2 linked regions of the Oryzias latipes genome follow. The protein of the gene in region 1 binds, or shares a complex with, the protein of each later gene. Links are inferred from orthologs where the notes say so. Each region holds a gene or a part of one and is shown on either strand. Other genes may lie near its edges.

Evidence for each region.
Region 2: eif3j (region 1) and eif3k share a complex: the UniProt entries of both Homo sapiens proteins name them as parts of the eukaryotic translation initiation factor 3 (eIF-3) complex. The link is inferred for Oryzias latipes from reciprocal best matches to the Homo sapiens genes EIF3J and EIF3K.

Annotation. Positions count from the first base shown.
Region 1 is NC_019861.2:18,396,465-18,408,586, forward strand, and holds eif3j (eukaryotic translation initiation factor 3 subunit J), read right to left. Parts: upstream 5,905-12,122; 5' UTR 5,857-5,904; coding exon 5,790-5,856; intron 5,653-5,789; coding exon 5,552-5,652; intron 4,137-5,551; coding exon 4,073-4,136; intron 3,999-4,072; coding exon 3,907-3,998; intron 3,827-3,906; coding exon 3,727-3,826; intron 3,542-3,726; coding exon 3,383-3,541; intron 3,275-3,382; coding exon 3,201-3,274; intron 3,078-3,200; coding exon 2,949-3,077; 3' UTR 1,934-2,948; downstream 1-1,933. Other genes in the region: stereocilin, read right to left, coding at 7,186-7,280, 8,164-8,314, 8,475-8,572, 8,744-8,892, 8,971-9,113, 10,021-10,176, 10,298-10,473, 10,867-11,038 and 2 more. UniProt on the Homo sapiens protein: Component of the eukaryotic translation initiation factor 3 (eIF-3) complex, which is required for several steps in the initiation of protein synthesis.
Region 2 is NC_019871.2:2,893,853-2,905,965, reverse strand, and holds eif3k (eukaryotic translation initiation factor 3 subunit K), read left to right. Parts: upstream 1-6,298; 5' UTR 6,299-6,415; coding exon 6,416-6,477; intron 6,478-7,333; coding exon 7,334-7,432; intron 7,433-7,512; coding exon 7,513-7,633; intron 7,634-8,250; coding exon 8,251-8,328; intron 8,329-8,419; coding exon 8,420-8,486; intron 8,487-8,567; coding exon 8,568-8,645; intron 8,646-8,731; coding exon 8,732-8,857; intron 8,858-8,972; coding exon 8,973-9,004; 3' UTR 9,005-9,023; exon of another isoform or gene 9,024-9,043; intron 9,044-9,129; 3' UTR 9,130-9,415; downstream 9,416-12,113. Other genes in the region: uncharacterized protein LOC111948454, read left to right, coding at 691-1,316, 1,464-2,541, 2,634-2,697, 2,802-3,871; calpain-3, read left to right, coding at 11,351-11,608. UniProt on the Homo sapiens protein: Component of the eukaryotic translation initiation factor 3 (eIF-3) complex, which is required for several steps in the initiation of protein synthesis.

The sequences.
Region 1 (12,122 bases):
GCTGCAGAGACGTGTCAGCCAAGGCACTCCCACAGCATCCAGAGACTTGAGGTGCTCAGGGCGGACTTCATCCACCCCCGGGGCCCTGCCACCGAGGAGCTCGTTGACTACCTCAGTGACTTCAGCCCGGGTAATGGACAGCCCCACCCCAAAATCCTCACTCTCCACTTCTTCAATAGAAGGCGTGTCAGTGGGATTGAGGAGATCCTCGAAGTACTCCTTCCACCGCCCGACAATGTCCCCAGTCGAAGTCAACAGCTCCCCACCTGCACTGAAAACGGTGCCTGTGGAGAACTGCTTTCCCCTCCTGAGTCGCCGGATGGTTTGCCAGAATTTCTTCGAGGCCAACCGATAGTCCTTCTCCATGGCCTCACCGAACTCCTCCCAGGACAGAGTTTTCGCCTCTGCAACAGTCTGGGCCGCAGCTCGCTTAGACTGCCGGTACCTGTCAGCTGCCTCTGGAGTCCCGCAGGCCAGCCAGGCCTGGTAGGACTCCTTCTTCAGCTTGACGGCATCCCTTACTTCCGGTGTCCACCACCGGGTTCTGGGGTTACCGCCGCGACAGGCACCAGAGACCTTGCGACCACAACTCCGAGCAGCAGCAGAGACAATGGAGGTGGAAAACATGGTCCACTCGGACTCAATGTCCCCAACCTCCCCCGGTACCTGTTTGAAGTTCTCCCGGATGTGGGAGTTAAAGACTTCCCTGACGGAGGGCTCAGCCAGACGTTCCCAGCAGACCCTCACAGTACGTTTGGGTCTTCCAAGTCTTTCCGGCCTCTTTACCCGCCAGCGAATCCAACTCACCACCAGGTAGTGATCGGTGGACAGCTCCGCCCCTCTCTTCACCCGAGTGTCCAAGACACAGGGCCGAAGGTCACCTGAAACAACTACAAAGTCGATCATTGACCTCCTGCCTAGGGCGTCCTGATGCCAGGTGTACTGATGGACACCCTTGTGCTCGAACATGGTGTTCGTTATGGACAAACTATGACGAGCACAGAAGTCCAATAACAAAACACCACTCGGGTTCAGATCAGGGGGGGCGTTCCTACCAATCACACCCCTCCAGGTGCCACTGTCATTGCCCACGTGGGCATTGAAGTCCCACAGGAAGACAATGGAGTCCCCCGTTGGGGCACTTTCCAGTACCCCTTCGAGAGACACCAAGAAGGCCTGGTACTCCGAACTGCTGTTCGGCCCGTAAGCCGAAACAACAGTTAGAGACCTGTCCCCCACCCGGAGGCGGAGGGACATGACCCTCTCGTCCACCGGGGTGAACTCCAACACTTGGCGGCTGAGCTGGGGGCTCACGAGTAAGCCTACGCCAGCCCGCCGCCTCTCACCTTGGGCAACTCCAGAGTGGTAGAGAGTCCAACCCCTCTATAAGGAATGAGTTTCAGAGCCCAGGCTATGTGTGGAGGTGAGCCCGACTATATCTAGACGGTATCTCTCAACCTCTCGCACCAGCTCAGGCTCCTTCCCTCCCAGAGAGGTGACATTCCATGTCCCAAAAGCCAGGTTCCATGATCGGGGTTTGGGCCGCCGAGGCACCCGCCCTCGACTGCCACCCAAACCACACTGCACCGGCCCCTTTTGAGGTCTCCCACGGGTGGTGGGCCCATGGGAGAGCGGTCCCACGTCGCTCCTTCGGGCTGTGCCCGACCGGGGCCCGTGGGAAGAGCCCCAAATCTGCCTCTTTTTACCTAGAAATGTACTTCACTTCACTGAAACCTCAATGTTCTTTTGACATAAAAGCTGTTTGGGTACACAAACATTAAAGCCATCCTGATCTCATCAAAAGAACAATTGAAATAATTCATTTACAAATGTGTATTAATTCCCATCTGGTACATCCTTTTAATCTAATAAGTCATTGCAGTCAGGAGTCGTGTAGATTTAATAACACTAAAATTAACAACCAAAAAACAACTTTACTTTTGACCAGTAATTTATTAAATTAGATGCTTAAAAACAGATACTTTTATCTTTAACATTGCATGTATCCAATTCTCTATGTAACATTTCAAACTGGTCAACTGCTAGAAAAGAATAGAAGTATGCCCCTTAAAACTAGATGTACCCCATTTGCAGTCTTTGGGGAAGTGAAGCCCAGAAGCTGCATCCCTCACCTCACTTGATACAAGCCCACAGAAGCAACTAACAGACCATGAACAAGTTCATTCACTTGCCTGATCTATACCTCTTCTGCATTAATAGAAATCAAATTAGTAAATTGCATTTGACATGCATGAAAAATACTTATATTTCTTTATTCCAGAGATGTATCAAGAGAATGGCTGAGCAGTCTTAAAGTCACATTGTTATACTCTATCCCTTTTTATCTTACAATCAACCTTATTTGCTCTTTAAAATTACTAATTGCGCCTGTCTCAAATTACCCACAATCCAACATTTCCAGAAAGAAGAATGAATAACATACTAAATAATTGCTCTGCTTTTGGCAACCAAAGTATAGACTATATACTTTCCTGTGAAAGCCCATCCACAGAAAAGAGTGGCTGTAATATGCCCATGACATTCTGGTTAAAGATTTGCATAGAATCTTGTTTCTATGTCATTACACTCAATTGTGATACTGTATTTGCACTTTTTTTTTTTTAGACGGGAGCAATGTTTTAATAAGAAAACAGCTCTGCAAAATTCAAACAGTGCTTTCCATGTATTTTCTTCTGAAGCTGGGTCACACAGCACACTCCATGTTTTGTGTGTCAATTGTGGCTGAATGAGACAAAAGGCAGTTCCTTAAGTAAGAATGTGAAGGGGCCAGACTGGATGCTCCCTGCCTTGGTCCCTCAGGTCACTGAAGCAAAATTGAAGGGGGCAACACACAGTTCAGATTTTCCAGGATGGCACTGGACAGCATGAGAAGGTACAGCTGTAGTTCTGAAGATGGGAGAGAGAAGACAGCAGTGACGGAGCCATCGTCACATGAAGTCCTCATAGTCTTGGGCGTAACCACCATCAAACTCTGCATAGTCAAGGTCATCTCTCAGCTGTGCTTTCAAACCGCCTCCAGCTATAACACCTTTCTTCTTCTTCTTTCCCTTGTTTTGCTGTGAAAGCAAAAACAGATAAAAATTAAGCTGAAATTGAGAAGACAAACTTCTCAACAATGCCATGTGTCAACAGCGCCCCCTTTTGTACAAGTAGTCACTTTTAGATGATCAAGAACTTACTTTTTCTTGTTTCTGTTTTTCACTAAGTAGAACCGAAAGGGAATTACTGACTTTCTTTAAGTCCTCTACTTCCACTGCATGAAAAAGAAAAAAGATGCACATATTAGGCCGGCTTGGATTTATAAAGAAAATGGCATTTAAGAAGTGATGTTGAGGATAAATGAAACTGAGGTCTTCCTTACATGAAATACAAAGTTCCCGAAACAACGATTCCAAAAAACTTGAATAATGCACAGACTTTTCAAACTGGGATATCTTTTCTTTCAGCACTTTTTCAAATTCTGTGAATTCTTCTTTGGAGGATGGACACATGGCATCAATGCCGGTGACACTGCCAACACCTGAGGTGAGAGAAAGAAAAAAAAAAAAAACGTTTTTAGATGTCTTCTAAGAACAAAAAGTTACATTAAAAAAAAGTTTTTCATTGGTGCAACAAATGTTTTTAATTGTAAAAATAGTGTAGAGCAAAATCCTTTCTTTTTAACTTCCTGGAAAGAGAGAAATGAAGAGGCCAACTCTTTCTTACCAAAAGCATCTTTTGCTAACTCCAAGTCAGCCTCTTCCTGTAGTTTTTTCACTCTTAACTTTTCTGCAAGTTGTTCTTCAGGAGTTAGTTCCTCTTGTTCCTAAAGAAAGCAAAAAAACAATAACATTATAGGAATATTGTTTTACCGTTTAAATAAAAAAAGGCCATAGCAACACATACTTGCTCTTGCAACTCCTGCTGTTTCTTCTTTAACCGGTTTTCCTTCTCTTTGATCTTTTCACTTAACCTTTTCTTATCAGAAACTTTCGTCTCTGTAAACACAAGTTTGAAACATTTCAACATTCATACCCATAAAAATGCAAGTTTTTCCTAATGATTATAGTACCTGGTTTCTTCGCCTCCTCCTTTTTCTTCTCATCATCTTCCTCCTCATCATCATCCCAGTTATCCTAAAAAAAAGAAAGAAAGAAAACATATTTAGGTTATTTCCAGAAAAAAAAGGTTGATTTAAAAATGTATTTTTACTTCTTTTTTAAATTAGTTTATCTTAATTTGGTTTATACCAGAAATTCCTGAGCTTTATTTTATTGCATTTATTGCAACATTAACCACTTTGTCTTTTGCAACATGTTGCCAAATCCTATCCCTCAAATCCACAGAAATGTCTTCACCCACTTTGTGAAGCCTAACTCAAGCTTTTACAACATGTGATCTCAAATGAGATGACAGAACAATTCATTAAGCAAAAATAAATAAAACTCATTAACCTAAATAAAATAATTGCAACAGCACCTAGTACTTATTGACTATTAATGTTTCCCCAAAAACAAGGTTACTGTTCCTTTAGTAGTGGGTAGTGTACTTTATTTTAATAAATGAATTAATAAATTAGTTACGTTAGTTTAAACTTATGAGATATTTTCACTAAAAGAGCAGTTTTATTCAGAAATGACCATCCATGTCCAATTATCACTTATGAAACAGTACACTTGCTTACATAGCAAACTACTAGCAAAAAAAAAGTAAATTTTTTCCCAAGCTTTGACACCATGGCATATGTGACCAAATAAATAAATATACATTTATCCCAGGAAGGCCTACACTAAGACTTTCCACGGCTGAACTATTTGGGAAGAAACACGATATTTTCATATAAGCCACCTGAGCTGCAGTGTCAGCTGAGCCGCAACAGCTCAAAACTCCTGCTCAGCCATCGTAAAGTCGGAAAATTCTAGGCCTCCTTTTGGCCGAGTTGAATCATCAGCAGAGAGAATGATTTCCTCTGACTGAGGCTAAGTTGGTAAGCGAGCTATTAGCTAACGTCAGCAGACCGGAGCCCACAGTTACTGCCATTATTCACCTATTTTCACTTTACCACTTTTGGTAAAAAGAAGAAAAAAAGTTGGACTTTTCTGACATTTCTTTTTTAAAATAAGCATCGTCGTGCCCAGCTGAGCGTCCAAAACAGGCTAACTGTTAGCAAATATCTATGCCAATAAATCCTCTAAAATGAAAAGTATATTTCAAAGTCTAAACTATAAACCAAAGCAGATATTATTTCTATTGTTAATAGTTTGCTAAAACAACGTTCAGTTGTCACTTAGTGAAACCCGGACGGAGGGCTGGTGTTAGCTCAACATTGGACAGTCTGTGGAAGCACGCGAGTTAGCCATCCGCTAGCTAACATACAGCTAACACAGTTCTAAGGTTGGGCTTGACGGACACGGAGGAAGCGTGGCATCAAGAGCGATCTGCTTTAAGCCTAACGTCGGCGTGACTCTCGTGAACGACCCGCTAAAAAAACAATACAGATATACCTGAATTTAAATATACACGTTAAGACTATGACATGATGAAGGCATACCTTAACATCTTCCTCTTCGTCTTCGCCTTCCCATTTGTCCATAACTGCAACAACAACTGCCGCCTTTTTAAGCGGCTCCTCTGGCTCGAAGGTCTCGGCGTCTACAATAAGAAAAAACATTCAATATGCGAAGACAACTCGCTATAATCTTATGGTGATATAGTTTTCAACTTTTAAAAGAAGTTTACAACAAGACTACGGTGTATAAATATATTCCATTCCCAACTTAGTTTCTTACCCCAGTCCGCCATGTTGGCTGTGTTTGACAGGCTCGGAGAAACGTGAAGGCTGCTGCCGCTGGGCATGCTCAGTAGCTGCTCCTGACGTCACCGCGAGTTTATGTGACGTCCCCGAGCCAAAAGAGCTATTTCAGGCGAGGAATTTATTCACGATGATTTAAAACAAACAAAGAAAAACTTACAAAAATGATTTCTAGATTATTTTCACAATTATAAGGAACGACTGCCAACCCCCTTATAAATGTTCAAAAACGTAAACACTATGGCAGAAATAACAATATAAAAACAATTAATGAAAAACGTATAAATATTTGTAATTATTAATCTTTTTTTTTTCTATTTTCTTTTCAGGTGGACCAACTTTTTATACCACTTTTTTCTTCACAAGTTCTTGTAAATAATGTCTATCAAAAATATGTTTTTTCTTGGATCTACAGAATCAGGACGCCCATAATGTTTCAAGGTTACTAAACACAAAAGAAAAATTCTAAGATAACAGAGATTTATTTCAAAGAAAATTTTAAACAATTACAGAGTAATAAATGAATTTGTTTTTTCTAAGAGTATCCCTGGTTTGAATAAATATTGAACATTTGTCCTGTTAGATATGATTCGGAACTTATAATATTTGAAAAAGACTGATGAATAGATTACTGTTGGGTTTGCGGTCCCCTGATTCTTGCCTTATGACTGCCAGGATTTGTTTTTTAGACCTCCGAAAGTCCTGAAATGTATGCAAAACATTTGAGGTTATCAGTGAGAGAAGATCTAAGAACAAAAGACAGAAAATGTAAAAATATACATTGTGAAATAAAAGTTTAATTGTTGGTTCCTTTTAATAAAGTAACAGTCATTCAGAGCCCAAGTGGTTTAACTGAACATTTCAGCTAAAAGTTAAAGAAAATTAAGCAAGCACAACAATAATAAACTCACAGCAACAATAGACTGTCATTGATAAGCACTAATACTTCCAGTCTTAACTATTGACTATATACACAAAATAACCTGACAGTTTGCAGTAACATACAGACAAATAAAAAATGTCAATACATTTTTTCATTTGCAAAAAATTTACATTTTTTCCTTGTCAATATACATGTTTTTAGAAAAATAAATGTTAACTTTTATTTATTGTAGGTTTTATATGGGGTTTAAATGAAAACGCTGCAAAATGTTATAATTGTGTTTTTATATCAAAAGCAAAGCTGTACTTTTAGCTAATTTGAAAAAAAAAGGGAATTTGCAACAACGTTCACTAAAATGTCAGGAAACATGACATGAAGAACTCCAGATATGTTGCTTATTTCCTCTTCACAAAAACTGTATCTTGCTTATTTGCTTATATTTTTTATTGTGCTTTGTATCACAGTCCTGAAGCAGCTTAGAAGAGTGAGGTTATGTATCATGGCAGAATGAGACAGTTAGCTGCATCAGTAGTCCAAATATGAGACATGAAGGATTGATGCCAACCACCAAGCCCATTGACCTCCCTGTGAGAAACAGAAAAAACAAAATCAGACCTATTAATATAACACAATAGCCATGCAAAATGGCACCTTATTCAACTGTCATTTCAAAAGAAGGCATGTTGCAGGTAAGTTAACCAAAGAACAACCCTTAACAAGTGTTACAGCTTTTTAAAAAGGCAAAAAATGTGAATGCATAACTCAGGGATATTTATTATCACTTTACAATTAATTTTTCCATTTGATTATGGGCAGCAATTTGAAAAGACATTTTACAATTCAATTAAAATGTTTTTTTGAACTTAATCTTGGAGTTTTTTATTACATTTTTAAATAGAAAGAAATCAGTTACGTTTAAAATTGTCATGTTTTGTGGAACCATAATTCAATGAAAATGCATTTTGCAACTGTCATTTCAATAAGCAATTTGATCATGTACGTATTTAGAAAAATGCAGCTTGCAGTCCAAAGTACCATCTAAAAATGACATTTTAATTCCTTGTCCTTTTTAACTCTATAGTAAAGTAAATTATAATCTATTTCATTTTTATTGATAATTAGTTTTTAGTTAAAATCCTAAAGAAATTTTAAAACACCCTAACCCCCAGCTTAATGCTTTTTTTATTCACAATGCACACCCCTCTCTTTGAAATTTACTTTGGAATTTTAAATTATATGAACACGATGCAGAAAATTACATTTAGAAATCTTTTGAGTGATGACAAAACTGATAAAACAAGTAAAAAAATAAACACACAATGTGCGTGATGTCCTCTCTCGTGCACATTTTACATCCTTTCATTTATAAGGAAATTACTAATTGAAATAAAATGTTCAAATCAGTTTTGTTATCGAAATACTACATAACCATGTCCAATTATCCACAGACCTTTGGTTCTATAGTTACCTCTGAAGTCTACAGGTTTATTCACCCAGGGAGTCAGCACCATGTCAAGAGCTGTCCTCTGCACATCCGACAGAACCGCGATCTGCTGCTGAGTCACTGCTGCCGCCTGCTCATAGGAAAACATGCTGATCTGCTTCTGGTTAAGTGCCACCTTCAGACAAACAAAATAAAGGAACACTAATGTTGAGATTCATTAAAAAGATGGAAATCAGAATGTATATTTTCGAATTATTTGATTTTTTTCATTATGGATTATTGACCAATTTCCACACAATACCATCTTTAAAAATACTCTCGTAATGACAACTTACAGCAAACTTTTGAGGTGAAATCATTGAGATAGCCTTGGGGGTGATTCCTTCAATTTGCTCTTGAACTAAAGCTGACATAGCAATATCAGGGAGACCAGCTGTGAAATAGACAGTTAAAATTGCAATGGGTGTCATGGAAGTCAAATTATTTTCACTGAAGGCTGTGAGCACATAAAAAATGTTAAAATAATATACTTTGAAAATAATGATGAGAAATACATTCAGGGTAATCAGTTCAGATCTTTCAGTGGGGTTTTTTTTCAAAGTACCTGCCAGGACTCCAATCTCCATGAACACATCAGTCCCCCATGAACTCATGAGACCAAAGGCCAGGCTGTGGGAGAGCAGCTCAACAAGAGCCTGCAGCTGCTCCTCTGAGCAGGAGAGACTCAGCTGACCCAGACAGAGCACTGCCTTGCTGCAGCCGGACAAATACACATGTTTGGAGTAGAAGTTAAAGAGGAGATGATTCTTTTGCAGCATCTTGACTGCTCACCTGAACTCTACATTATTGAGTAACTTGATCTCTGTAGTTTTAGCTCCACATATAATGTGTCCCAGTGCCACCAGAGTGCTGGAGTCTAGCTGGTTGGGACTCTGCTTGGTGGAGTTTAACAAAGCAGCGAACAGGGCAGCGAGCTGGGATTACAAAAAGAGAGGAGTTCAGATGAAAGCAGGGATATAAACAATACTAGAATAGTGGACAACTTTGTAAAAAAAAAAAAGCAATTTTTTTCAGTGTAAATTACTCTCTTATGGGCATTTTTGGATGTTCTACTGCTGAAACCCTATTACCAGACATAACATGTGAGATCTTATTTTCAAGATACGTTGTTTTTGTTGGTAAAACGACAGAAGTTTTATTTCACCTTTGAAATACAAAAAAAGTTTTTGTAACCACCGAGGAAAAGAATAGTATAGCTTTTACAAGACATGTGATAGTACTGTCTCATTTTTTTACTTGAACAGATATATATATTTAGATTTTTCTTGGCAATTTAATGAAATTTTAAAAGTTACACAAAATTCACAAGATTTGTTTTGGATAATTTTGTATTTACCTGTTATTATGGCAGTTTTATGTCAATAAGGCTTTTTCCTTTTTGCATTTATCCTTTTAGGCTGAATTTGAATCAGCAGATTCAAAATATTTTTATCATTTTAAGTTATTTTTTTGCTTGGTTCAATTCTTCAACATCTAATTTAGCATACAGCAAAACACCTTAACAGCTTTTTTATTTTATTTTAAAATTTCTATATTTATTAAATAGGTTTCTGTGATGTTTTAGCGACTTAGCATTTACAAGTTCATTTGTGAAGGAAGTTCACTTTTTTGTAATATTAAAATAGGGTTTTCAATTAGTAAATAAAGAACAAAAAAAGTTGTAAAACAAGTAGTAAAAGAAGTAAAGGAGAAGTTCCAGTTAAAGTCTGAGTCAAAGGCTCTTTGGAACTGATGTGTAAAGTTACACTAGGATTGATTACTCATTTAAAAAGAGCCAAGAAACTATCATCAAAATTTAACAACTATGAACAAAGAAGCTACCTGTCTGCTGTTCCAAGATTTGACAGCTCCCATGGCAGCAATGCTTCCTCTCTCGGTCAGTTGGAGAGCATTAAGTTCTTCCGGTGTCATCTCTGTCGCTATTACACCTAACTGAGCAATCACAGACGGGGATAATGATGACACTGGGCCATACATCTTGATCCATTTTAGGGTGATCCAGGGGAAAATAAACAGAAAACAAAACAACATTAGGACCTTTACAGATCAGAAGCGACACAATTGAGAGGAATGCATGGCTGTTACATATTAACCTAACCTTTTTCACCCTCTTGAGCACCTCGCCACGTTGGAAGAATGCCAAATTTGAGTCGCCGCCCATCAACTCCAGACAGTTGGAGAAGGCGGATGATGACATGCTGCTCAGACTGCTGGAGGTCCAGACAGAGGGCGCTGTTGTGTGCAGCATCTCACAGGTGGGAACCAAGGGTGTTGCTGTCAGAGGAGGCATTCACACACAAAAATTAATAACTCAAGAAAAGAGCAACAAATACTTTTTAATCTGCATGCAGTCTGACCAGTTTATGCTGGTTGAGAAAAAACTGGACAATGTTGTGGGCTACAACAATCTCTGCTGAATGAATTCACATTAAGAAGTAACACAAAACCACAAAAAGTACAGTTTGAGTTCAATTAATTTTGATGAGCGAATAGTTGCATTTATGGAAGCAGCCTGCATGTTGCATTTTCTGCAAAACGGTTGTTCTATAGAATGAGCAAAAATTCACTAACAAGACTGACCTTGGGGTTTTGGTAAATAATCTTTTTTAAATCTTTTTCTAAATGTGACATTAGCAGGACACTGTATGAGAGTTCCATGAAGCTTACATGAAAAAGGATTTATTTTGAGGAAGCCCAGGAAGAACTGCAGGACATACTGCTGCTTGTCAAAAATGGCCTTCATGTCATTCTGGTCCGAACAAAGGATCCCCACATCTCCCTGTGCCCACTGTCTCTGGCTCATGAACAGCTTCTCTATTCGCCCCACTGTCATCAGATCCTTCAGGCAACACAAAACAAACCCACGGATATAAGTAAGACTCACAGATAACAAGGGACATCAACAAAACAACACAACGTGAAACCTGAGGCATTTCTTTTTTTTTTTCTTAACCTGTTTTGTTTCTAAACGCAACATTTCATCCAATAATGTTTGATTTGTTTTCAAAGAAAACATTTTTAAAAGAGTTATTGCATTAAACTCACTGGTGAAATGGTCTCCACAACTTTGGTAGGCAAAAAGAAGATAAATCGCCCAGCCTGAGTGAGCGTTGTCCCATTCCACTTCTGGACAGGGCTATCAAAAAAACAAGATCATTTCAATTCAATGAAAAGAAAGAGCTATAAATGCATCTGAAGCTTTTCTAATCTGTTTAAAAACGTTTCAATATTTCTTATATACATAACATACTTGATCAACAGGACCCCAAAAGAGAAATTTATTTGACCTCTTACCATTTTGCTGAATTTTCTCACAACTGAAAGTAACAAAACAGCGAAGCGGTGTGTACACAAGGGTATCTATCTAACATGTATGTAGGCTTTTTTTTTTTAAATCCTTCAGCAGATATAATCTCCACAAGAGTCAGACTGAGTACCTTCAATAATGTTCATGCTGTTTCTGATGTGGCCCAACCTTTCTGAACCAGAAGCATTGGGAGGAGCAAAAGACTCACTCTTACGGTTAGAGTTACTTTACATGGTTTGCTCAACAAATACATCTAAACATACATTAGAAAAGATCCCGCCAAAGAGGAATTACATTAAAGTGGGAGGCAGATGAGTATCTGGCCTATCCAAGTGTTTTTAGGAGTTGAACCATTCAAAAAAAGGAATCTTTGACAAATATTTAGTATTTTTCACCTAGTTTACTATCACAGAAGGACTGTTTGTGATCTTTTAAAATGAAACTGCAACACAACCCCTAATTTTTTATTATTTTATAGTTCAATTAAATCTAAAAATGCAATTTAAGCTATCTGATAAAAAGAAATAGCGGAAAAAAAGCTACAAGCATCCAAAAGAAGAGACAGGATTTCACGTGTGTGACGTCTTTACCCAAAAACAGCAGGTTCTTGCAGGAT
Region 2 (12,113 bases), on another chromosome or scaffold:
AGTGAAGACTCCTCTGCCAGTACCACCAGAGTTGCTCGCTTTGGAACTGCCTCAACGTGTCCAGGATAAAACCTACAGTCAGTGCATTAACTTTGACAAAAATGCAAAGTACTGTATTCATTTGGACTTTGAGATAATATTTTATTCAACAACAACTCAAGGTATTTTTTTATTTTTGCAGCAGTCGTTGGAAGACCCTCAGCTCAGTCTGCAGCTCCTTCTCCTGCTCACTTTCAGCCAACGCCTGCTGCTTCACCACTTCCATCTTATGACCAGGATGTTAGCAGCTGGAACTGCTCTCCCCAGCAGAGGATCTGGATGAAAACAGAGATGGAAGCCTTAGGACTGTGGCCTGGGTCTCCACCTGTAAGACATGCCATGAATATGATCTCCTTGTGGCGTAACCCACCTCAGCCGGAACTCATTGACTCAATTTATGAGCTACCATCCCCAAAGTACTTTCACCTCCATCCTTTTTTTATCTGGAAACCAGACCATGCAATAATGGAAAGAGTGCGTAACAACTACCCCCTCCCGTGTCTGCATGGCTGCCCAAAACCCCTCGTGGTCTCCTCTGGAACAGGTCGGCCCCGTGTCATAATTGGCACAAGTGGTCAGTACTACATACTTGCTTCTCGGCTGACCTGTAAAGTCTGCAAGAAGCACTGGTTTGCAGACAAACCTTCATGGATGGACATGCTGCCTCGTCGTTTTCAGGAGATTTTTCCAGCCTTCCTGACCCACAAAAAGGCAGTATGCAAGACTGTGATGGATGAGCTGCGGCGTACAGCAAAGTCTCCAGGTGATATGGCCAATCAGCTAAATGAAGCTCTTCACCTAAGATACGAGCGTGCACACGTGGCTTATCTGGGGACAGTGAAGAATGTTCTGGATGGAGAGAGCGGACTATATGGCCAGCAGACAATCACGGGGGCAATGAGGAAAACATCCACACCAGATCCTTTTGGTGGGTATACAGACATAGATGGCTGGTGTGGGGTAACAGTGACTTCACACTACCTGGTGGACTGCCTCATTCAGGAGTACCATAGGGAGGAGGGCACGCTCAATCTGCTCCTTCAAGGCACTTTTGGTGAGGTCTTGAGGGCTGACCACACCCGAAAGGTGGCACGGAAGGTTGTCCTGGCATCAGGCACAATGTCATCTTATGCAGTTATGAATGAAAACTGGATGATTTTGTCCTGGGTGATGCTGCAGTCAGAAAGCGACAAGTCTCTGGAGCCAATGTACGACGGGCTGTCCCGGCGTTACATTTCTGCAGCGCTGCCAAAAGCAAAGTACCAGTGGGTTGACAGGTGAGACAAAACTTTGTTCATTTTACTTCTAATTTAATGGTTTCAACAGTAAAAACGTGAAAAACATAAGTAAATATTGTTTTAAAAACAATCCCTTTATTTGCACAATAAACAATTAAAAGGTGCTTTACCTGCGTGTATGGACAGGGATTGCTGCTCTCCATTCAGGATCCCAAACTCCCAGCCTCAGGAGCATCTTCTCTGGGATTCCTGGAAGACCACAGAGGCTATAGTGGGTGAAGCAACATCTGGAGACTTCACCAATAGATGTGCATCCCGTACCAAATACAACAGAGAAATAAGCATCAAGCTGGACTTGTTTCACTGCATGCGGCGGTTCACCAGGGAGTGCATCTCAGAGCATCATCCACTTCACAGCTCCTTCTGCAAGTTCCTTTCGGCAGCTTTTTGTGTGGTGGACCAAACCGATCTTCAGAGGCTGAAGGAGGCCTACACCTTCTGTGGGATCCAGCCAGCTAACCCCACAAAGCAGCACATCAGGGAGCACTGCCGCACCAAGATCCCAGAACCCAGAGAGCTGCTGGTGCGGGTGGAGAGTGTTCTGAAGAGGTTCTTTTTGGAATCGGATCCAGATGGCATACCACTGTTTAAGGCAACAATGCTGAAAGTGTGGAGGATTCAGCGCGTTCACATCCTCAGGGGCTGTCTGAGCGACCCGGAGGTGGGAGACGGGATCCTCTACAGACACGGTGGCACGTTACAGCTGAACCACATCAAGGGGGAAGCGGCAGCGGTACCGATCTGGATCCCGGTGCGAGGAACATCCCAGCAGGAGGGATTTCATTTCCACCAGTCCAAATGGGTGACAGGAAATCAGGTCTCGACAGAACTTTTCCAGGCCCAAGGCATGACTGGAGTAGCTCGGTGGAACTTCCAGCGCCTTGTGAGCCTGAAGCAACCTGGTCTGAAGCTTCCTTCAGTTTTTAATCCAGCTCTGATTGTACAGCTGAACAAACTGTCAAAGGAAGTGACAGGACAAGCTAAGTACCCTGCCTTAGTCTTGTCACAGGCCGACACTGGGGAAAGGTTTGGACTGCAGTATGTGGAGCCTGGCTGCCGTCCGGTTCCTCTTCACTGGGACAAACACAAGTCTCAGAGAGACCCGGTTGTTGAGGAAGAAGAGTGTTTGTCTCCAGAACCACCTCCTTCCAATGAAACAGTCATCGACCTGCCTGAAGAACATGGAGAAGAACACTCTGCTCATGTAAGTTTGTTGTAACAAACATCCTCACTCTATTACAATAAAACTGCAGCTACATAACAAGTTTAAACTAACTGAATGGTCCAATGTTTCAGGATAATGTCTTAGGTGTGGTTGCTGATGACTCACTAGCAATGACCCAAGCCCCTGAAGTGAAAGGTAATTTAGTTCAAATTTTCAGCCTTTTTTAATTTATTTGTGCATTGCATTCAAGGAAAGAGAAGTGAGAAGGGTTAACTTTTCTCTTTTTTCCTCTCCATCAGATGTCTCAACGACACCACCACCACTGCCTTTTGCTGCCTCTCCACGCGCAGCTCGCACTGGTCCTATCAAAGCAGGGGGTCTGCTTTTTGTCCTGGACCATTCTCGTTGGACAAATCCAATGAGAGATGCCATTGATGTCCTTCTGGCAAAGCACCATGGACAAAAGGACTTTCTGAGCAAGGTAGACGCAGAGTATGCCGCCCTTGTTCAAACTGCCTCCAGGAATCCCAACAGCCTCCTCCACCCCACCACTAAACAGCACATCTCCCGCTACGTGAAGCACATGGCGAAGATGATTAACAGAAGTTCGTCTATGAACACTAGTCCCGAAAAACTTTTGGAAACCCAGCAGCTGTGGCATAAACTCACTGAAGGCAGTGAAACTGTCACTGTGCCAGTTGTGACTCTCCCTCCTGCTCCAGTGAACCCCCCCAGCTCTAAACCAGATGAAGCTCCTTTAACGAAGACTGACGTTGAAAAAATGGTGAAGGAGATTGTAGGTCTGCAGCAACAACAGCAGAAACCTGAAAAAAAAATGACAAGGAACTGTCTTGCTTGTGGGCAGCCAAAGTCTCGTTACCTTGGTGATGGATCTTCTGTTCATTTCTTTTATCAGTCTGGGGATGTGAGATACTTCTACTGCTCCAAAAAAGTACTCCAGATCTATGCAGCAGAAGGCCTTACAAACCCCAGGATGCCATTTGCAGACTTTGCTGCCACGCCATTTTTTGAGAGAGAGTTAAAGGCTGCAAAGCAGAGGTCTGCACAATGCAGAAAGGTTTTGGAGGACCGACAGAAAAGAAAGGCAAGGGAGCAGCATCCCAGTGGGCGTCTGTGCAGGTTCTGCCACAAACCACTGAAACAAGGTCCAGAGAGTCCACACATACACACCGGGTTCCCTGGTGTTGTGGGGAAGTATGTTTACTGTCCTGCCAGAGTCTTGTCCCTCCACCGGGCAAATGGGATGACTCAAGAAATGACCTGGGAGGAGTTCTCTCAGTCTCCTTTTTATGAGGCTGAAAAGATGAGGTGGGCTGCTGGCCGGCAAGCAGAAGAGGGAAAGAGATAGCTTTTATGTCTGTTCTATTTGTTATCAAAAGATGTTGCTGTTTTGACCACTTTTGTCTCATTTTACCTCAGCTTGTCATATTGGATGAGAAATAAGTGTAAAACGTCAAAATCTCTGCTAAACCTGTCTATATGTTTGCCTGTATTAAGTTCTCTTCTGATAACACACTGATTATGATAGAACTCGTGGTGTTATCTATCAATGTGAAAATATTTGTAATTTAGTTTGTGAAATCTATTTTGTGAATACAATTTTCTTACATATTTATTATTAGTGTTTAGTTTTGATAGAAAAAGCAAACATATTTACTACTTCCTCAATTCATTTTACACCTTTAAAATACTTGTATTAAAGTTTTGCCTGTTTAAACCCTTCTGCCCTTCAATTGTAAATCCATGGTTGAACATTTTGGTACATTTTGTGTTAAATACTGTGTTTTATTTATTTTCATGTTGATTTCTTAATAAAACATAGTTGAAATTGAAATGAGCAACAGATCATGACTGTTATTTGGAACAAGGAGAGACAGAAGTAGAAAACAATAATTATGAAATGTCATATTCAGTTTAACAAAAACATTTATTATACCACAACTTCTGACTGACATCACTCTAACCGGGGTTCGAACTCGGGACCAAAGGATTTCATCAGCTTGGACAGCGCTACACAAGCCACAGTTTGATTGGCTGACTATGCTGCAGTAGCTGCAATTTGATTGGCTGTTCCGTGTTACAGGTATATACGGCTGGCCTTCGCGTGGCAGGCGAGAATTCTACCACTGAACCACCAATGCAATAGTTTATTGTGCATGAACACCTGCATTTATTGTACCATTCAAATCACATACCATGACACATTTCTGGGTCGACGGAGAAAAAGCGGAATGAGTTTAATTAAATTCATCAAATAGAAGTAAACCTTCAATGATAACACTCACCACAAACAGTTTTTATTGAGACGTTTTCGAGTTCATGGCGAGTCCAACGTGCCCTCAAAACGCAAATGCACAGATGGATAGATGGAATTTTGGTTTATTTCATTTTATTTTAAAGGTATGCTGTAACTGAAAGCCAAAACAAGGTGGTTGAATGACAGTTTTTTTTTGTGACTATTTAAATTTTTTGGCTCTCTTTTCATTCTTTTAGTTTTATTGTTTTGTTTTCCTGTTTCTCTTTATTTATTGCGCTCATCTTCCGCCGTTTTTCGGCAGTTAACCCCTTCTACAATTTTCAACTATTTTTAACCATTCAACTATTAAAATGTTCAGCTCTTTCAGCTTATTCCTGCTATGGCTTTTGGTTTTTCAAATCCTTCAACTTTTCAAGATATTCCAGGATTTTCAAGGATTTATCTCCATTGAAATACACAGGGAAGTGTTGGTGCATGAGGTCGCTGGTTCAAGACCCCGTTCGGACGTTTCAAATTTTTTAGTTTAACTTAATTTCTTCCGTTTTGAGAAAAAAGCTTTCGTTGTAGAAGGATTTAAAAAGAAAAGAAGGAAATATTACTGAAAGAAGGTGTTTGATAGTTTTGCATCTTTTCAGACTTCTCTTTATTTTGATGTGGCCAACATGTTGCGTCTTATTCTTAACACAATTTTTAAAAGTTAGATTTATATTTTTTCCCTTCTAAATGTAACCAAAAACACTAAAAGACAGTTTTAGAAAACAAAATTATGTCTGAGAGAAAAAAAAAACCTTTTCATGTAACTAAACTGAAAGGTTGAATGACAAGTTTTTCAGTTTTTCTTCTTTGTTTTCTAGAAATGTAGAGATTAAAACAACACAAAATGAATACACAGATGAAGTGGCTGACATCTCACAAAGGTCTATTTTCAGAGCAGTGTTTACAGTCACAACGCTTCAACAGCAAAGCCAAGAGGGTGGAACTTTTATTTTATTTTTTATGCATTACTCATCTCCTCTCTGAAAGGCCTTTGAGGCCAGACTAAATGTTCTCTGCAAAAGACAAGGTCATCAAGGCCAAAGAAACTCAATTTTTTGGAACCTGAAGGTCTGTCTTGGCTCCATCTGCACAGTAGTGTGAGTTGCTGCTTATTGAGAAGCACCATATCTATAATGGACCTAAATGTGTATTGTTTCAAAGAGTGGGGAAGTCAGTCAAAAAATATATTTTATAAAAAAAGGTTTCCTTTTCCAAAATGCAGCAAATAACAACCTTACAGAATCCATAAAATGCACAAAACTTTTTAGATTCTCAAAATTGAATACACTGGTAGTTTCAAAGTGGCAGTAATGAAATACAAATCTTTTTTATGATTTGTTTAAGGGTTGGAAGTAATGCCATCAATTTAAAAGAAACTTTTGATTTGTCTCCCTCAAGTAGAAAATCAGACCAGAAAAAAAGTCAAACTTGTGTACGGACTTTTATTTTGGTAAACCCGGTTCTCTCGCATTTACTCAGTTCATGCTTCCGGTCCGACCTCTTTTCCCTTCCGGCTTGGGTCTTTTTCTCTTTTAGCGGTGCACGTGCAAAGATACATCTGTTTTTTACCTGAAAGTATTTTGTTAAACATCTGGAGAGATGGCTTCGTCGTTCGAGCAGATGAGGGCGACAGTAGGGAGACTCTTACGGGGGATCGACAGGTATGAATCCAACGAGAGAGAAGAGGAAAACGGGCGCGAGGGCTAGCTTAGCTTCTTGTTTGCTAACGTTTGAGAGACTCGTCGAAATTAAAAACTTTCAATTAATTTCTTTAAATTGAAGTTGTTTTATCAATGTCATTTGCGTAAAAAAATGTTTTACATTTATTTTTTAAATGTAAATGCCATAATAGATTGGCTTTACTTTCAGGATCTTGACCGGAACCAAATACTTAAGTTAATTATTAATAGACCCTAATTTAGAGGTAAAGTTACTCTTAATAATCATAAAGAAACTGAACATCAGAAAGTATTAAGTGCAGAAACAGATTCATTTAGGTAAATTAATTATGCTATGGATGCATTAAGATGATCATATCGATCTGTATGTTGTTGCTTTGTGATGACTGATCAACTTAGACAGATGTGAGTTGTCTTTTAAATAATGTCCGTACAGATAAACTAAAGGTCTGATTTGAAATATAATAATGCAATTTAATTCCACCATAATAATAAAAAAATCAATAGCATTAATATTTTTTAATGTAATACAGCTTTTAAATCATAAAAAGTTAATTTTTTTAGTTTTATTTTGAAACGGTTTTCTACCACTAAACTATTAAAAAAATAATGAACTGGTGAATCAAAAATGTAGAACCCGCTGGGCCTTAAACTAAGTTTGATTTCTGTTTTGATGCTGTGAAGGTCTCTTTGTTTGGGGGATTTAACCCCTTTTTATTGCACATCTGTGGGCTGACTTTCTCGTAAAAATGCATGAAAAACATCCCAGAGGACCAACGTTCCTTACAGTAGCAGCAGTTATGGCTTGTAAACTCCCAGCTTCTGTGCATCTTCACAGGTACAACCCAGAAAACCTCGTCACACTGGAGCAGTACGTGGACACGCAGGCCAGGGAGAACGCCTACGACCTGGAGGCCAACCTGGCCGTGCTGAAGCTGTAAGCTGCCGCTGCGTTCGGGTCGGTGCGACGCTCGGGTTTCCCGTCGTGAGATGACAGATTCCCCTTTGAACCCGCAGGTACCAGTTCAACCCAGCTTACTTCCAGACTCCGGTGACCGCGCAGATTCTGCTCAAGGCGCTCACCAACCTGCCGCACACAGACTTCACTCTCTGCAAGTGCATGATCGACCAGACACACGTATCCTTTTGTTGCTCTTCAGTCTGAGATCAGACCAGCTTCTGCTTCGTTATCTTCTAAGGTTTTTAGTGTTTCTGTCAGTTTAAAGTCCCACTCCGATCATCTTCTGATCTATTCTCAAAGCGTTCCCAGTGGTTTTTTTAATTATGATTATAACTTTTTCAGCCAAAATAAAAAAAACACTGTTGTTTTCTTCTGGCATAGTTTCTGTTTATGATCTTCAACAAACGGCATTTTTCCTGATTCACGACGATTTAAAGAAAGAAATACTCAGAAATGCAGTTTTGAGCTTCATTTTCTTATTATTCGTCGTCAGAAAAACATGTTAGAAACATTGGAGTGGGTCTTTGTGGTGGAGAGTCTTCTGGTGGACACCAGGAACTCCATTTTCATTGGAGGGGGTCTGTAGTACCAATATAACAATCAGAGTCAACCCCGTTACTGTTGTTAACTTTGGCCACTTTTTTTTTTCAAATGTGAATAAAAGCTGAGGTTTTTCTTTTAGCTTTTTAACAGCGAGGTCTCATTTCTGGAGAATAACTAGCTGGTTGGTTAAAAGTGAATAATTCTTAGGTTGACCTGGGATGGGGGGGAGTGTTTCCTTGACTACAGTGTCGCAGCAAGAGGAGCGCCCCATCAGGCAGATCCTCTACCTGGGGAACCTGCTGGAGACCTGCCACTTCCAGAGCTTTTGGGTGCGGTGCAGATCGTGTTCTCGGATCAGATCTCCAGACTTTGGAGTCTGTGAAGAAATGAAACTTTTCTCTGGCTCTTCTCTCCTGTCAGACGAGTCTGGAGGAGAACCGGGAGCTCATTGACGGCATCGCCGGTTTCGAGGACTCCGTTCGCAAGTGTGAGTATCGCCTTACAGGAGACGACGACGGCTCTGACCCGAAGGAGACACGTCTCTGAGCGTCTTCCTCCTCCTCTGCAGTCATCTGCCATGTGGTGGGCATCACCTACCAGACCATTGACCACCGGTTACTGGCTGAGATGCTGGGAGACCCGCTGGGTAAGAACCGATCCACCAGATCCGCCGGTTGATCCGCCGTTGGCGACGGTCGGAGGTGTTGAAGCTGCTTCCGCTTCCTGCTGCAGACACGCAGGTGAAGGTGTGGATGAACAAATACGGCTGGACGGAGAACGAGGACGGGCAGATCTTCATCTACAACCAGGAGGAGAGCATCAAGCCCAAGAACATTGTGGAGAAGATCGACTTTGAGAGTAAGTCCAGCTTTTATTTCTGGAGATCTCCGCCGAGACGAAGCAGAACCTTCCAGGTTTCACGTGTTTCGTCTCCCGTCTGAAGAAGTTCTCCTGCTGTTTGTTTTGTCTGCAGGTGTTTCCAGCATCATGGCCACATCTCAGTGAGAAAAACAGCTTAATAAAAGTAAATTATCACCAAAAACCGATGGATTTGTCTGGTTTTAATGTGCACTTTTTGCTGTTTCATGTTTATTGATGTGCTGAGTCATCAGCCAGGTGGTTTTTCACAGCATCACACTCCTCCGTTTGATCCCGAGGGGTCGCCTCTTCTCTGACCTGATCGGGTTTTTGCTGACTTGACGGCATCAGAATCCGGAAGTGGCTGTGATGAGAAGCCCCGCCCCCTCACGTGAAGGTGTTGGAAATGATCCCAAATGATTTCGTTTGAGCTCTGTACATATTCCAACAGAGCAGTGGGACTTCATGAAGTGAATTATGGAAAACCGGTGTGGGATTTAGGTGAGGATCTGCTCAGGCTTTCCTGTTTTTATCAAAATAAAAGCCTGTCAATGGTCACGCGTGTGTGTGAGAAATTTGCTCTTTACATTTGGGACGGTTCAACCCTCGAATTCCAGCCTGGAGCACGGAGGAATTCCAGATGATTTTTATGACCCAGCTGGATTTAAACCCACAACCTCCCAATGTCTGGGCAGACACTCTACCACAGAGCCACTGAGCAGCTCCTCCAGGAGATTGTGCTCTAAATTAACTCTGCTATTTTTATTTAAGTTGTTTAACTTAAGAATAAACTTAAGTTGAATAAGAATAAACTTAAGTTGTTTATTTAAGAAGTTTCCCTTCTCTACCTCTGTGCCGGTCCCAAGCCCGGTTGCTTTGAGAAGGTTGCGTCAGGAAGGGCATCCGGCGTAAAACATTGCCAAATTTACCATGCGACTTGTTCGCTGTGGCGACCCCTGATGGGAAAAAGCCGAAAGAGAAACAACATTTTTATTTAAGTTGTATGAGTGTCACAAAATGAAATTGTTTTTGGTAAATATAGATGCATCTGAAGATTTTATTCAGTTGATCACATTAAGGAACATTTATTTCAGTTTTTTTTTTAACTTTGCATCTTTAAAGTTTCACCATTTTTAATGAACTAACTGAAATAATTCATGATTAAAATAGAACTAGGTAGAAAAAAAAGACGTTTTTAAAGTAAACTTCTTTGTTAGACCGTGCAGAGATTATCTGCATGTAAAGTCAGGTCAGGTGCTGCTGCATTCTGGGAGAAAAATCCGGAAAAAATGTCAACAATTGGAAAAAAGTTGCAGAATTTTTAAATACCTTCAGACTTTTTTAGTAAGTTAGAGGATTTCTTTTTTTTTTTTTTATGCCATCGCATTTGTCTGGAACAGAAAAAAAACACAATGCAGGTTCTTCTCGGAGCTCGTTAAAGGAAATGGAAACGGAGGATGCGTTCATGGAACAGAGACAGGAAGACGAGAGTCGAGGCGCCGCCGCAGACAGTCAGGGGGAGATGAACCAGCAACCGCGGGGACATGAGGGATGCATGGAGTCCACATTTTAATACAAAGTCGATTCTACAACATCTGAACATATAGCATTATGAAAAGATTTTCGGAGATGAAAGCTAAAAAGACCCAGAGAGAAAATATCAGCTGAATTTTCAAAATAAAAGACCACCTTCAGACCCCTTTGTGTTGAACTTGTGATGTCAGGAGTTTCCTAAAACGTCATTTTTGAGAACTCTGGGAGTAAGGATTAAAAAAAAACATTTTAAAAATGTGTTTTTTAAAATCTTTGTGCTTTGATTTATTTTGAAAAAAAGTACAATTAAAATAAAGATTTGATGATGTGATTGTGTGACTTCAGATGGAGCCAAAATGCTGATTTAAAAAAATATTTCCAACATGACGTCACAATGACAGATGTGAAAATGGAATAAAAATTCAACTGCGTAGATTAAACAACAATGACTAACAGAGCGCGTCATTAACAGAACATTAACAGAACCTTCATTAACAGAACACTCACCCAAAGTAACAATAACGAAAGTTTTTTTTTAAGGTTTTAAATGTAATTAAACTGTCATAAGCGCCTCTAGAGTTTTCTAGGAAAATCTGAAATCCATTCATAAATGCAGAAATAAAGTCTTAAGTTTCCATTTTTAAGCTGCTCCTCATCGATCAACAGCAAATCATGACCGACAGAGAAGCCACACCTTCACCTGTGTGGGGGGCGTGGCTTCAGCTCCTTTACCTGTATGTGTGGGGGGCTCAGCTCCTTCTGTGTGTGTGTGTGGGGGGGGGCTTCAGCTTCTTTACCTATGGGGGCGTGGCTTCAGCTCCTTTACCTGTGTGTGTGGGGGCGTGACTTCAACTCCTTTACCTGTGGGGGGCGTGGCTCATCTCCTTTACCTGTTTGTTAGGGGGGCGTGGCCTCAGCCCCTTCATAAAGAGGTCTCTGCGCGAGGTCGGGCAGGTAGACATGAGGAGGTCCAGGACTTCGTCGTCGGGGAGCTCCCTCCCGCCGCTGGACGAGGACGTGACCCCCATGGAGGAGGAGGACGGGAACGAGCTGCTGGGGTCCCAGTCCCGCCGCTGGCTGGCGGACCTGCTCAGCGGGGACCTGGCGGCGCCGGCCGCGGACGGGGTGACCTTGGGCCGTGACGGGCTGTTCGTGGACTACCAGTTCCCCGTGGGGGAGCTGGAGATGCAGGCGGGACTGAAGTGGAAGCGACCGAAGGTGAGGAGGGCAAAGAAGCAGAGAGGAGAATGCGGTAAACTCACTCTAATACACATTTAGAAACACCTTCCTGCTATTTCTGTGCAGAAATCATCATTTTGGTTCGGAGGTTTAGGATCCACTTTGGCTTTGGGGGTTTGTCGTGACAGACTCTCCACGCAAAGACCCATGTTTTTCTGATGACGAATAAGAAGAAAAATTAAGCCCAGGACTGCATTTCCGAGTAATTATTTATTCAAATTGTTGTATAATCAGGAGCAGATGGAAAAGAAATCAGCTTTAAAAAACTTGTAGTTGTGACGTAGGAAACACGTTCTGCTGGGACGAGCTCCTTGCTCCGCCCCCTTTCTGACGCATCCACTTGCAGACGACCAGATGTTCGTTTTCGTCCGAGCCGATATGTGGCTCAAAACTAAACAGCTGTACCTCTCTGGTATTGCTCACCGTTTTTAAATAACGTAATTGTGCTTAAATCACTCAAAATGCAAATATTGAACCGTAAATG